Linked DNA regions of Neurospora crassa OR74A. The protein of the gene in region 1 interacts with the protein of each later gene in a pairwise test. Links are inferred from orthologs where the notes say so. Each region holds a gene or a part of one and is shown on either strand. Other genes may lie near its edges. The genes, in order: NCU03191, ypt-1 and NCU06404.

The links.
Region 2: the proteins of NCU03191 (region 1) and ypt-1 interact in a two-hybrid assay, tested with the Saccharomyces cerevisiae proteins (2 studies listed by BioGRID). The link is inferred for Neurospora crassa OR74A from reciprocal best matches to the Saccharomyces cerevisiae genes MRS6 and YPT1.
Region 3: the proteins of NCU03191 (region 1) and NCU06404 interact in a protein complementation assay, tested with the Saccharomyces cerevisiae proteins (2 studies listed by BioGRID). The link is inferred for Neurospora crassa OR74A from reciprocal best matches to the Saccharomyces cerevisiae genes MRS6 and SEC4.

The regions. Positions count from the first base shown.
Region 1 is NC_026501.1:4,858,440-4,862,190, reverse strand, and holds NCU03191 (rab protein geranylgeranyltransferase component A), read left to right. Parts: upstream 1-1,398; coding exon 1,399-1,478; intron 1,479-1,570; coding exon 1,571-2,634; intron 2,635-2,838; coding exon 2,839-3,167; 3' UTR 3,168-3,185; intron 3,186-3,334; 3' UTR 3,335-3,604; downstream 3,605-3,751. Other genes in the region: NCU03192 (hypothetical protein), read left to right, coding at 1-84, 171-192; NCU03190 (Rec8), read right to left, coding at 3,710-3,751. UniProt on the Saccharomyces cerevisiae protein: Substrate-binding subunit (component A) of the Rab geranylgeranyltransferase (GGTase) complex. Binds unprenylated Rab proteins and presents the substrate peptide to the catalytic component B.
Region 2 is NC_026502.1:3,521,493-3,525,243, reverse strand, and holds ypt-1 (small GTP-binding protein), read left to right. Parts: upstream 1-1,104; 5' UTR 1,105-1,377; coding exon 1,378-1,388; intron 1,389-1,647; coding exon 1,648-1,771; intron 1,772-1,841; coding exon 1,842-1,889; intron 1,890-1,957; coding exon 1,958-2,185; intron 2,186-2,243; coding exon 2,244-2,444; 3' UTR 2,445-3,325; downstream 3,326-3,751. UniProt on the Saccharomyces cerevisiae protein: The small GTPases Rab are key regulators of intracellular membrane trafficking, from the formation of transport vesicles to their fusion with membranes.
Region 3 is NC_026504.1:2,622,813-2,626,549, forward strand, and holds NCU06404 (GTP-binding protein), read right to left. Parts: upstream 2,897-3,737; 5' UTR 2,229-2,896; coding exon 2,199-2,228; intron 2,069-2,198; coding exon 1,801-2,068; intron 1,590-1,800; coding exon 1,270-1,589; 3' UTR 403-1,269; downstream 1-402. UniProt on the Saccharomyces cerevisiae protein: Involved in exocytosis. Maybe by regulating the binding and fusion of secretory vesicles with the cell surface. The GTP-bound form of SEC4 may interact with an effector, thereby stimulating its activity and leading to exocytotic fusion.

The DNA.
Region 1 (3,751 bases):
CATCACACCCATCAAGCCTGAGCAAGTTGTACCCAAGAATGCAGGTGACTGCTTCTTTGGCGTGACAACTCCTCTAGGTTGCGGGTATGTTCTATCTCTTATCTCACGCTTTGACACATGAGGCGGTCATTCCTCCCACATGCATGATCACTAACAGTAATCATATTTAGACCCCTTCGTAACACGAAGTAGGTGTAATGAAGGAGCTGCGACTACGAGTTTGAGTTTTCTTTCACGGATGGGGAGTTTGATGGCTGGCTGCCGGCCTACAGGCGGAAAATGGGCGATCCTCTCGGGGCGGATGTGGAGGACGTTGATCGGCGACAAGATAGATGGATGATGGGCCTTGTCTAGATGCAGTCATAGGATCTCTGGGGTTTCAAACACCGACTATGGGCATGAAGTCATGATCTATCAGGAGTCAATATTATCTCGACGGAGAACCTCGGCTTGGTCATGCCAATGGACAGAGAGACAGAGAGTACGAAGAAGATACCCATATGTTGGATGCACCCTGGTTGCGGCCGGAGGAGGATAAAACACCACCAATTCTACGGAGAGAGATGGGCGACTGTGCCATTCAAAACCATCTTGTCCTGTCTTGTCCTGTTTGTACTCGAGGAGCAATGCGATGTAAATGGATACCCACTTGGAACATCCTACAACAAAAGCGCTCTGTTCAGCTTCGAATTCAGCCGTTACGACTCTGTACAACATAGTGATCAATGATGATGATCGCACAAAGCCATCATGATATGATGCAAGATAACTTGACGGCTAACAACATCGCTGCGCATAAAAACCGCAAAGGTGTGAGCTTCTGAGTCGGAAAGTCATCTACAACTTCTGGGCATCGCGGAGTTGAGCTGGCAAAGCAGTCAAGACATTTGCAATTTTTATAGCATGGTTGCAAAAATGTGCCGATCGTTCGACCCGCCCTCACATGTGGTGATTCTAAGGCAGGAGATACAGAAGGGCTGTTTGTGGCATCAATCTGCCACTCAACTTCGGAGAAACCTAATGAAAGGCCCCCCAAGACTCCCGCGATACTGTTGGGCTGCAGAGCAGCAGCAGCAACCGCGTCTCTTCGTTGAGTGGTTGATGAGAGAAAAAGGAAAATTTGGGGTGGATGGACGTCGAGTTTTGACCACTTCGAAGCTTCGCCAGTGGCCCGTGCGTCTGCCCGTTTGTCAGGCGGGGGACGAACAACAGAAACCCACAAAAACGAAAGCTTGGGCGGGGCCGATTCAAAAAGCCACACCGGTCCGAGGAACTGCCGGCTCCGCAAGCACCAAACTTTAACTTCATTTCAAAATTGCCGCTGCAACCCTCGTTCTTTTTCCCAAGTTATTACTTCCCAACAGACTGGCAGTTCCGCGAACCACAGAGTCCCTAGTCATGGCGATGGGATCTATCGGCGATACCCTTTGGGATGTCGTCATCTGCGGCACCGGACTGCAGCAGTCTCTGCTTGCACTGTAAGCAAACTTTTCTTTCGCTCTTCTTCATCCGACTTTCATCGTTCTCCTGTCTAACTGACCGACTGACATAGCTGTTCTCCGCCTTGAAGATCCCTCTCGCGATCGGGCAAGAACATTTTGCACATAGACCCCAACGACTACTATGGCGGGGCGGAAGCGGCTTTCAGCCTGCAAGAAGCTGAGTCCTGGGTTGACCGTCTGGCCACCGAGGACAAAGGCCTCTTCAGGTCCGCGTCTATCACCAAGCCGGATGTCGTGGGTCTCTCCTTCCCCAGAGCGTACTCGCTGGCACTGGCACCGCAGTTGATCCACGCCCGCTCGGAGCTGCTATCTCAATTGGTTTCTTCCCGGGCGTACCGGCAGGTGGAATTCCTCGCCGTCGGATCGTTCTACATTTTCAAAGCACCTGTCGGCCCTGAACAGCAACCCAGCCTTGTCCGCATTCCTTCCACCCGCGAAGATGTCTTTTCAACTACTGCTATATCGGCCAAGGCGAAGCGCGGACTGATGAAGTTTCTACGGTTTGTGCTGGACTACGACAGTCCGGAGCAGAGAGATGCCTGGAAGCCTTTTGCCGATAAACCCTTGGTGGACTTCTTACAGGAGCACTTCAAGATGGATACCGAGCTCAAGACCTACATCATCACCCTCACGCTTTCGCTGGATGGCCGCATCACTACCGAGGATGGATTGTTCATCGTCCATCGCCATCTTACCTCTATGGGTCACTTTGGCCCCGGCTTTGCTGCTCTCTATCCCAAATGGGGCGGTATCTCCGAGATTGCCCAGGTCGCCTGTAGAGCCGGTGCGGTCGGTGGTGCTGTCTACATGCTTGGCGCTGGTATCAAGTCAATGGAGACTGCTACTGACGAGATCGAGCTCGAGTTGACCAGCGGCGACAAGGTGAAAACCAAGTTGCTCGTGCGTGGAGACGAAAGCGTTGGTGACGAGCCGAGCATCAGCAGGCTAGTGGCCGTTGTTGATTCTCCGCTCAAGACCTTGTTTGAGTCTACCGTCGACGGGGCGCCGACTCCCTGCGTTGCGGTCGTCGCTCTGCCTCCGGGTTCACTAACAACACCTGGCGAAGCAAACACTGACCCAGTCTATGTTTTCGCTCACTCGAGCGGCACTGGCGAATGTCCCAATGGTCAGAGTAAGTTTTATCTATTTCCTTGCTCCCTTCAATTTACCCATTTCGAGTACTATGATGATCCACATCTTGAATACTTATCTACATTGTCCAAGCTTCGGCGTTGACGATAAATACCTCTGACATTCTGATCGTACTCTCATCCGTTCAACCCTTCCGCATCATTCATAACTTGTTACGCGCAAATGGCTGACTGGAAACCAACAGGTGTCTTATACTTGTCCACAATGGTGACTCCTAACTCCAAGGAGATCTTGAGTCGCTCTCTTGAATCCTTGCTTTCCGCTGTGGACCCTGATCGAGTCCCCCAGTGCTTGTATCAGTTATACTATGAACAGGCTGCTGGTGTCAAGCAAAGTCGACTTGATGGGTTGATTCTTGATCTGCCAGGCCCATCTCTTTCCCTCTTGATGGACGATGCATCGCTGAATCATGTCCGTGAGGCGTGGAAGAAGGTCGTTGGCGGCGCAGTTGATGATGCAGAGTACATGGTCTTCACTGATCGTGAACCCGTGGATGATGATGATTATGAATGATTCTTGGTGACGACCATGGTAAGGGCTGGTCTCTTTACTGTCTTATGCACCGCCCTCCGCACACTCCGTAACATACTTGAAAAAGATTAATCTCAATTTACTTCTATTATTCGATTGCCAATCCATCTCACTGCTATCTGGTAGCTGATTTGTTGTGAATTCCTCAGTCGCCAAATCTTCTGTCAAAGTGAGCCCCAGCGTGTTGCAAAGTTGCCGTTTGCCTGAAGTCCGTTGTCCCCTTCCTATACTTCTCCGAAGATCAGCTCCCTATGTCCTCCGCAGAAACTGTGATCCTATCTTCCGCATGCGCCAGATGGCTTTTGTCAGAGGCATGATTGCTTAGCAAACCAATCAAAATGGTATCTCATCTGGCCCTTTACTCAATCATGATCCCACAGTGTAGGGGAGCACAGCATCCCGTTTCCCATTTACCCACCCGACAACCCGAACCGAGAAATAATAATAAAGAAAAGAACCGCAAGACTCGCACCGATTGCACCGATAAGTGTGCATTCTTTGCAAAACTCTCCGCATCAGCCACTTCACTCGTCACCATCCTCCTCCATCAGAGCCAGCATCTCAGC
Region 2 (3,751 bases), on another chromosome or scaffold:
GATAAGGCCGGGTTGAATGCAATTTGCAAGAGTGTGAAAACGCCAAGTGGTTGACTTGTCTCTCTGACGAAGAGTGCCGCACAGCGGGTGGAATGATGTCAGTGACGGATTGGCTCGGATGGTTGACCACAGAGCTGATAAGAGGGTCGGTAATCGGGTGGATCGGCTTCCACTTGCTCACCGGATCTCCCCACGGACAGGGATTCCAATAGTGATGTTTTGTGGGGTTGGATCTTGATCATCAACACTCTATCCATGGACATTGTGTAGGTCAGGAGGCTTTGAGAGCAACCTAGTTGCATACAATGAAACGACATATGCTTCATCGTAATTTTGGTTGTGGTCAAATATCCAGAACCTTGAGGTCTCATTTCGTTCGTACACTTGTTTCACATGAGCCTTATCTTATCGGCATACATATGTAAATGTGCTGGATGATGGAACCTAACTGAAGCTAGAAGCTTCCTAAGATCAGGAGTCCGTTGGACCCGTGAATCAATGTTGCTCCCAAATCCAAAAAAAAGGGAATCATTCATTCATTCATTGATCCATTCATTCATTCATTCATTGATACATTCATTCATTCAATGGAAGCCCATGTGGACACCGCTCAGGTGGCCCAGCCTCCAAGTCCACGATAATAAAGGTAGCCATGGGAACAACGGCCAAAGCACTTTCGAGGTATACCAAAACAAAAAAGTTCCGTAGCCGTACTTTGTTGTCGTCTCTTGGACAGAGAATAACCTGGAATCTCAACCACATTTCATCATCATTGTTTTTTTTTGTCTTTTTTTCTTTTGGGACTTGTTTAGCTGTGAAATGCACATCATCGGGACGACTCCAAGATTGTTAGTGCAATACCGTACATACCGCAACTGAAGTGGGAAAGGGTCAGGAGGCGGCTGCTGCGTCACGTGCATCGTCACCGCTTGAGTCCCCTGTTTTGGATGGATCAGTGTCCCGCCTCTTGGCCGGCGGTCGCCAATCACCCCCCCGCCCGGAGAGTGTGCGGGTGGTGTGGGTGGGCTGCCACTGCCACTCGCTGCCAGCAGTCAGCCAGGACAGCCGAGGGCGCTCTCCCATTCCATCAACTGCCCGTGTTAAGTTGCTCTGCGTGTTGCCCGTTCCAGGTTCTATGCTGCGTGCTGTTGCTGCCTTTCCATCCGCCCACCTACACTAGACTTCTACAATCCTCCACATCATCAATCAACCAACAGACCGACCTCCCACCCCCAACGACCTACACCTAATCTCATTCAGCGAAACCATCCATCTTTCGCTCCACCACCGTCCACCTTACGATACCCGCCTTATTTCTTCGCTGTCCAACTCAACCCAACACCACCACATCGCATAGCGCGTCCCTCGTTGCCCATCATGAACCCTGAGTAGTAGGTTTAATCACGTCTCCTGTTGCCCTTCTCCTGCTCTTCCCAAATCACCGTAAGCCGCCGCCACGCTGCCGCCACCTACAATCATCGCCGCCGCCCGTATCCCATGTTGTTTCCATGACGGATTGCTAACATGTTTAACCTTCAGGGTGCCCACCGCTTCCCCTCTTCACCCGACGTCGTCCCCTTCCCTTTCGCGACTCGACCGATCACCGCCGCCACCACCCCCAAAGAACCCTGCTGACGATGCAACCAGATACGACTACCTCTTCAAGCTCCTCCTCATCGGTGACTCCGGTGTCGGAAAGTCTTGCTTGCTCCTTCGTTTTGCCGACGATACCTACACCGAGTCCTATATCTCCACCATCGGTGTCGACTTTGTACGTCCTGCTATCCTGCCTGCGCAACACATGCGTTCGACCCCCATCAACATGCTGACCGTTTGGCTAGAAAATTCGCACTATCGAGCTTGATGGCAAGACCGTGAAGCTCCAGATCGTAAGCAACCCCCCGGCACTCCTGGACACTTTGGAAATCCAAATTCGCTGACCCAGTCGCTTATTCAGTGGGATACCGCTGGCCAAGAACGTTTCCGTACCATCACCTCTTCCTACTACCGTGGCGCCCACGGCATCTGCGTTGTCTACGATGTCACGGATATGGACTCTTTCAACAACGTGAAGCAATGGCTTCAGGAGATTGACCGTTACGCCACCGAGGGCGTCAACAAGCTCCTCGTCGGCAACAAGAGCGATATGACCGACAAGAAGGTTGTTGAGTACACAGTCGCCAAGGTACACAGCCACCCCTAACCCTCGTGTCTAAGCCACATACTTACACATCAACCAACAGGAGTTCGCCGACAGCCTGGGCATTCCCTTCCTCGAGACCTCCGCCAAGAACGCTAGCAACGTCGAGCAGGCTTTCCTTACCATGGCCCGCCAGATCAAGGAGCGCATGGGCAGCTCCATCGCCACCAACAACACGAAAGCCAGCGTCAACGTCTCCCCCGGCCACGGCGTCTCCAACAACTCTTCCGGCGGCTGCTGCTAAAGCGTCTGTGCCTTGCGGCATTGGTTGCGCTCTTGGCGTTACGGTTTCGCATCGGACGGTGTTTGACGACATGATGATGCGATTGAATGTTACGGCGTGGGCACTGGGTTGAGCTGTGATGCAAATGCTGCTCTAATGGGATCTCAGTTGGGAATGTTTCGGCTCTGCTTCTGTGGTTTTGCGAGGAACATGGGAGGAGACTTGGGGCGGCTTTACATGCTACCTTGGGAATTCATCACACGGTTCCGCGGGCTCTTCTTCGCTTGCCGGGACAGGTTAGGGTGGGGCCTAAGAGGATGGTGATCGAACGCACCGGAAAAGGGAGCTTAATAGTTGGCTCATCACCAGTGTCCGTCACGATTCCTGGCAAAGGGCAAGGGGGGAAAGAGTGGCTGGCTGAGACATGGGATGGGCGGCGGGCTTCTTAGAGAGCTTCCACGACCCTTGATGATGTTGGGGGTGTGTGTGTTGCGTGTGTGTATTTTCGGTCTTGGGCATAACTGAGGACGCGGCACGGTTTTTTTTTTTTTTTTAAACACATTTGTTACTTTTGGTTTTTTTTTTAAGGAGCTAGACTACAGTTTTTGCTATTTTTGTGTTTTGAGGCAAACCCACTGATCTTTCCATGCTACAGCTCTCTCACACATAGAGGAAACCTTTCGCTTCAGAGAGATGACCGGCACATTTACACCAAGAAGAACCACACGTACAGGCACACCCATGCATAAAAAACAAATGCTCACCAGACTTCAAGCCCTTAGCCAGCTCTAGACGTCCTCGATAGTTACTCGCGCTTGATGAAGTCTCTCAAAGTGACGGACTTGGTTATGCTAGTAGAGTTTGATAGTCTAACTGGATCTGTAAACATTGAGATTTTGGACATCCTGCCGGCTGATCCAAAGGCCACGATCAGACTGCTGTGGATAACCCACTCTCCAGGGTCTTGACAGCAGTATATTTATGAGAAGTCCAATCGACGGTCGGTAAATGCCCCTTGTCCCATATCACGGATAGTATAGCCAGCCATATCAGAGTTGAGGATTTGTTGTGTTGAAGCACCCCAATTCAATCAGTAATCGCAGGTATCAACCGCTTCAAGGATTGAAGAGACACTCGGTTTTAAAAGCTTGCTTTACAACTATACCCGTAGCCAGGATCCGACTTTCCATCTCTTGTCAGGCCCTCTTCTTCCCATCCATGGTGACTTTGCCTGCACGCTATACGTATCTCTACCTACGTTTTCCCATATCCACTGACCCCGGGACTCTTCGCCCTGCGTTGATGATAGACTAACAGCAGCATAATAG
Region 3 (3,737 bases), on another chromosome or scaffold:
CAAGGTAATAATGTCGTTGCGCGAATATTACAATATAAAAGAGTGATTTTACAGGGCGTTAATTGGCGAATCTACATAGTATATTTCGCTACTGTCCCAAATTAATTTACTATCCCATATTTTATCCACCCCCTCTCCTATAGGGAGGGGGTGGAAGAGCCTTGGCGCCCAGAGCCAGAAGGCACCCATCACCCTCGAGTATGGGTCCTGTAGTGAGCGTGGTGGCATGCCGCAGTGCAGTGGTGGCTTCCTCGGCACTATGTAAACAGTCAGACCGAAGGGACCGACAAGTGGAAGTTGAGCAACGCACAGACCACATCTATCCCGTTCTTTGTGCTCGTTTCCCGAAAGAGTAAAAGAGCACCTCTTGTGGATTCGTGGCTCATGTCAACAATGTTATCGCTCACGTCATACGTCTTGATACTCTACACTAGCCATGGTTGACCAGGGCGTCCCCATCTTTTCAGGGAATATCTATCTATGTTTTGTTTTATGGGTGTCGTATCGTCATACTTTGGAGATACAGCTATAAGGGGGGCCGCGCACGAAATCTACAAACCAGAAAGAGAACAACAAAGGGGAAACAGTCAAGAGAGAAGAAAATGAAATATATTAGGAAGAGCCAAAGATCGCACCCAAACTCCGTGACCAGAATGTTTCGTTTCGCTCTCTGCCCCTCGTCCATGCTGCCAACCCAACCTCAATCCATCTATATCGATCAAGCCGGTCGTAATACTCACATGTCTCCGTATCGTCGTTGATGTCCTCAGCTCCCTAGCCTATCCATCCTACCATCCACTGCTTCTAGAGCGCAATAATAATAGACCCAATAGCGAGAAGCCGGAAATGAGCACGCGTCGTATCTTCCGCGCCGCTTCTCCCTCCTGCTCCCGAGTGACAAGAAAGGGGTTTTCAATGAGCCCTCCAGAATAACTAAAGCCGTCTTTTCCTCTTGGACCTTAGCTTCATTACAACCATAGTAAAGTCTTGAGACCGAAGATACCCTCTTTCTCCCCTACACCGCCTCTTTGTTTCCATGCGGTAGACCCGGCCGTGCATATTGGTGGCCCGCAGGAAGACAGGTGCATGTTCGATAGACGTAGGCTGTAGCCAAATAGAACTGAATGAGGCCAGACTGCTGTCATCCATACTTCGGGAGGATAAATCGGATCTCGTATCGCCATCGTGATTGTCAGCGGGCTTTTTTTTTTTTTTTTTTGCGAGCTCCAGGGTCGGGTTTCGCCGCCACACAACTGCTACCCGTTTGGCTTAACAGCACTTGCCGCCGGATCCTGACCCGCTGTTGTCGCTGACGTTCACGCCCGACGAGCCGCCAGACGCCTCTTTGCCGGATGTGTCGATGATGCGCTTCTTGATGTCGTTGGCGAGGCTGAAGAAGGCCTCTTCGATGTTGATGTTCGCCTTGGCCGAAACCTCGAGGAAGGGAATGCCAAGCTCGTCGGCTAGCGCTTGGCCTTGTTCCTTGGAAACCGCCCTCTTTTCCTCCCAGTCGCACTTGTTTCCAATGAGAATCTTGTTGACTCCTTCCGTCGCGTGTTGCTCCACGTTGGCGAACCAGGTACGGATATCTGCGAAGAGAAGGTCACGTCAGCAAAGGAGCGAGGTAATACATGGCATGGTATCCGATGGGAGATTGCTGATGCCAGAATCCGGAGCAATGGAGAGGCATGGCATCTAAAAGGCACCAATCCATCGCATTTCGAGCGTGACCTCAAGGACCACCTCTTGACCGCAACTGTCATGCCATTTTATGCGGGATGGGAATGTGGGTTCACGTACTGTTGAATGACCTTTCATCCGTCACGTCGTAAACGAGAAGAATGCCCATGGCGCCTCTGTAGTATGCCGTCGTGATGGTACGGAAACGCTCTTGACCGGCGGTATCCCATATCTGTAGCTTCACCCGCTTGCCATCGAGTTCGATTGTGCGGATCTTGAAGTCGATACCGATGGTGGTGATAAATGACGGTGTGAATGAGTCTTCGCTAAAGCGCAACAGACAGCAGGACTTGCCAACGCCCGAGTCTCCGATCAAGAGCAGCTTGATCTATGTCGTGAAGCGGTATCTCCGGTCAGCGTCTGGAAACAGAATAACCTCGCCAAACCCACTACGGGGGAGGGGGGGAACACAAGGAATGTCGCGAGAGTGCGAGCGGTGAGGTGAAGGAAAGACTCACCAGAAAATCGTAATTCCTGTTACTCGACATGATGAACTGGTGTGGGGGTTAACGCCGCCGCCCGTCGTTTCGATCTCTTGGAATGTTTCTCTGGTAGTTCGGACTCCGGAATTCGGCAAAGGGGATATCAATCGAAATCCGGCGTTTCGAAATCGTCGGGCTGTTGTACACTGGTAGTTGCGGGAAAGGGAATGGGGATGGAGACTGGAGGCTCGAATGGTGGTGACGATGCGCAGTTCAGGAAACAGGCGACAGAGCAGGAATGATGTTCAGTTGTAGGTAGGTAGTGTAGGTGAGTGAGTGAGTGGTGGTGGAATGCAGTGGTGGTGGTAGTTGAAAGCGTGTCCGCAGTGCGACGTTGACGGGCCTGTCAAAACTGCAGGGCGGTTGCACGGGTTAGGTAGTAGTCCAGCGGAGGAGGAGTCGCAGAACGAACAAACAGGCGAGAGCGCGATGGGGTCTCCTACTCCTGCACTAAGGTAGACTTGGCTGGCCGGCTACTGGGCTGCGGGCAGTGCGTACCTGGGCTCTCTCTCCCTCCAACTTTACGGGGCGATGCCGTGCGGAGATCCAATGGAAAGGCGAACAATGACGAGGACGGGGAAGGCAGAAAGGGGTCTTGTAGCTTCCACTTGTCCAAGACCTCCCTGCGTGGAGAGGAAGGAACCAAGAAAACTGGAATGTCTCAGATGCCCCTGATGTCTGATACTATCTAATCAATGCTAACCTGGGTCCCAAAGCGCAGGGCAAGTGGAAGTCCAGAGCCCGGGCAACGCGATCACCACCATAGAGGTACAATGTGAGGGTTGACGCACTTGCCTGAAGTGCTACCGAGTCGCGGGCTACACTATGTATGGGATGGGGGGTTATCTGTGCCCTTTACACCTGTACCTCCACTCTAGTGGAAGAACGCTTATTGCAGCGCGTGATCGTGGTCTAGGGGACGCGACTGTTCGGTACGTAATCGGTCAAGTTTCTAGAACCTACAATCGCCGCAACAACTCCACCTGATATTCCATTCTTTGTGTCCCTTTCAACCTTGCAGTAGATAGAGATACCAATGTGTTATGAATGACAGGATGAGCTCGAAGGACAAGTTGTTGTGCATGGCGCAAAGTGTCTAGGAAACCGGAGTGAGAAAGAGACAACTCAACTGCACTCTCAACGAATGCAACCCAAGATTCAGGAACCAGGGAGGGAGCTCTGCCACTAATATCTGAGGTCGCGGAAGAAGGTGAGCCTCGAGACCAAACGAGACCATCCGTTCATTCGCGCATCCAACAGAAGACCAGCTGTCTTTATTTGTTTGTTTTACCAGGAAAGTTGATTAAGGGGTTTTCTTGGCTTCTTCAACAAAATGGAGTATCGTGAAAGGCCAGCTGAAGCTGCAGACACAGGCGACTGGGCGGTCTCACAGCAACATGGTGAGAAAGGCGGGCAGGGCGGTGAACAGTCTATACGCACGAGACGCAGTATCCGTTGATGGATCTATAACTCATATTGGCCCAATGATCTCTTCCACCAAAGCCTTTTCCTGCC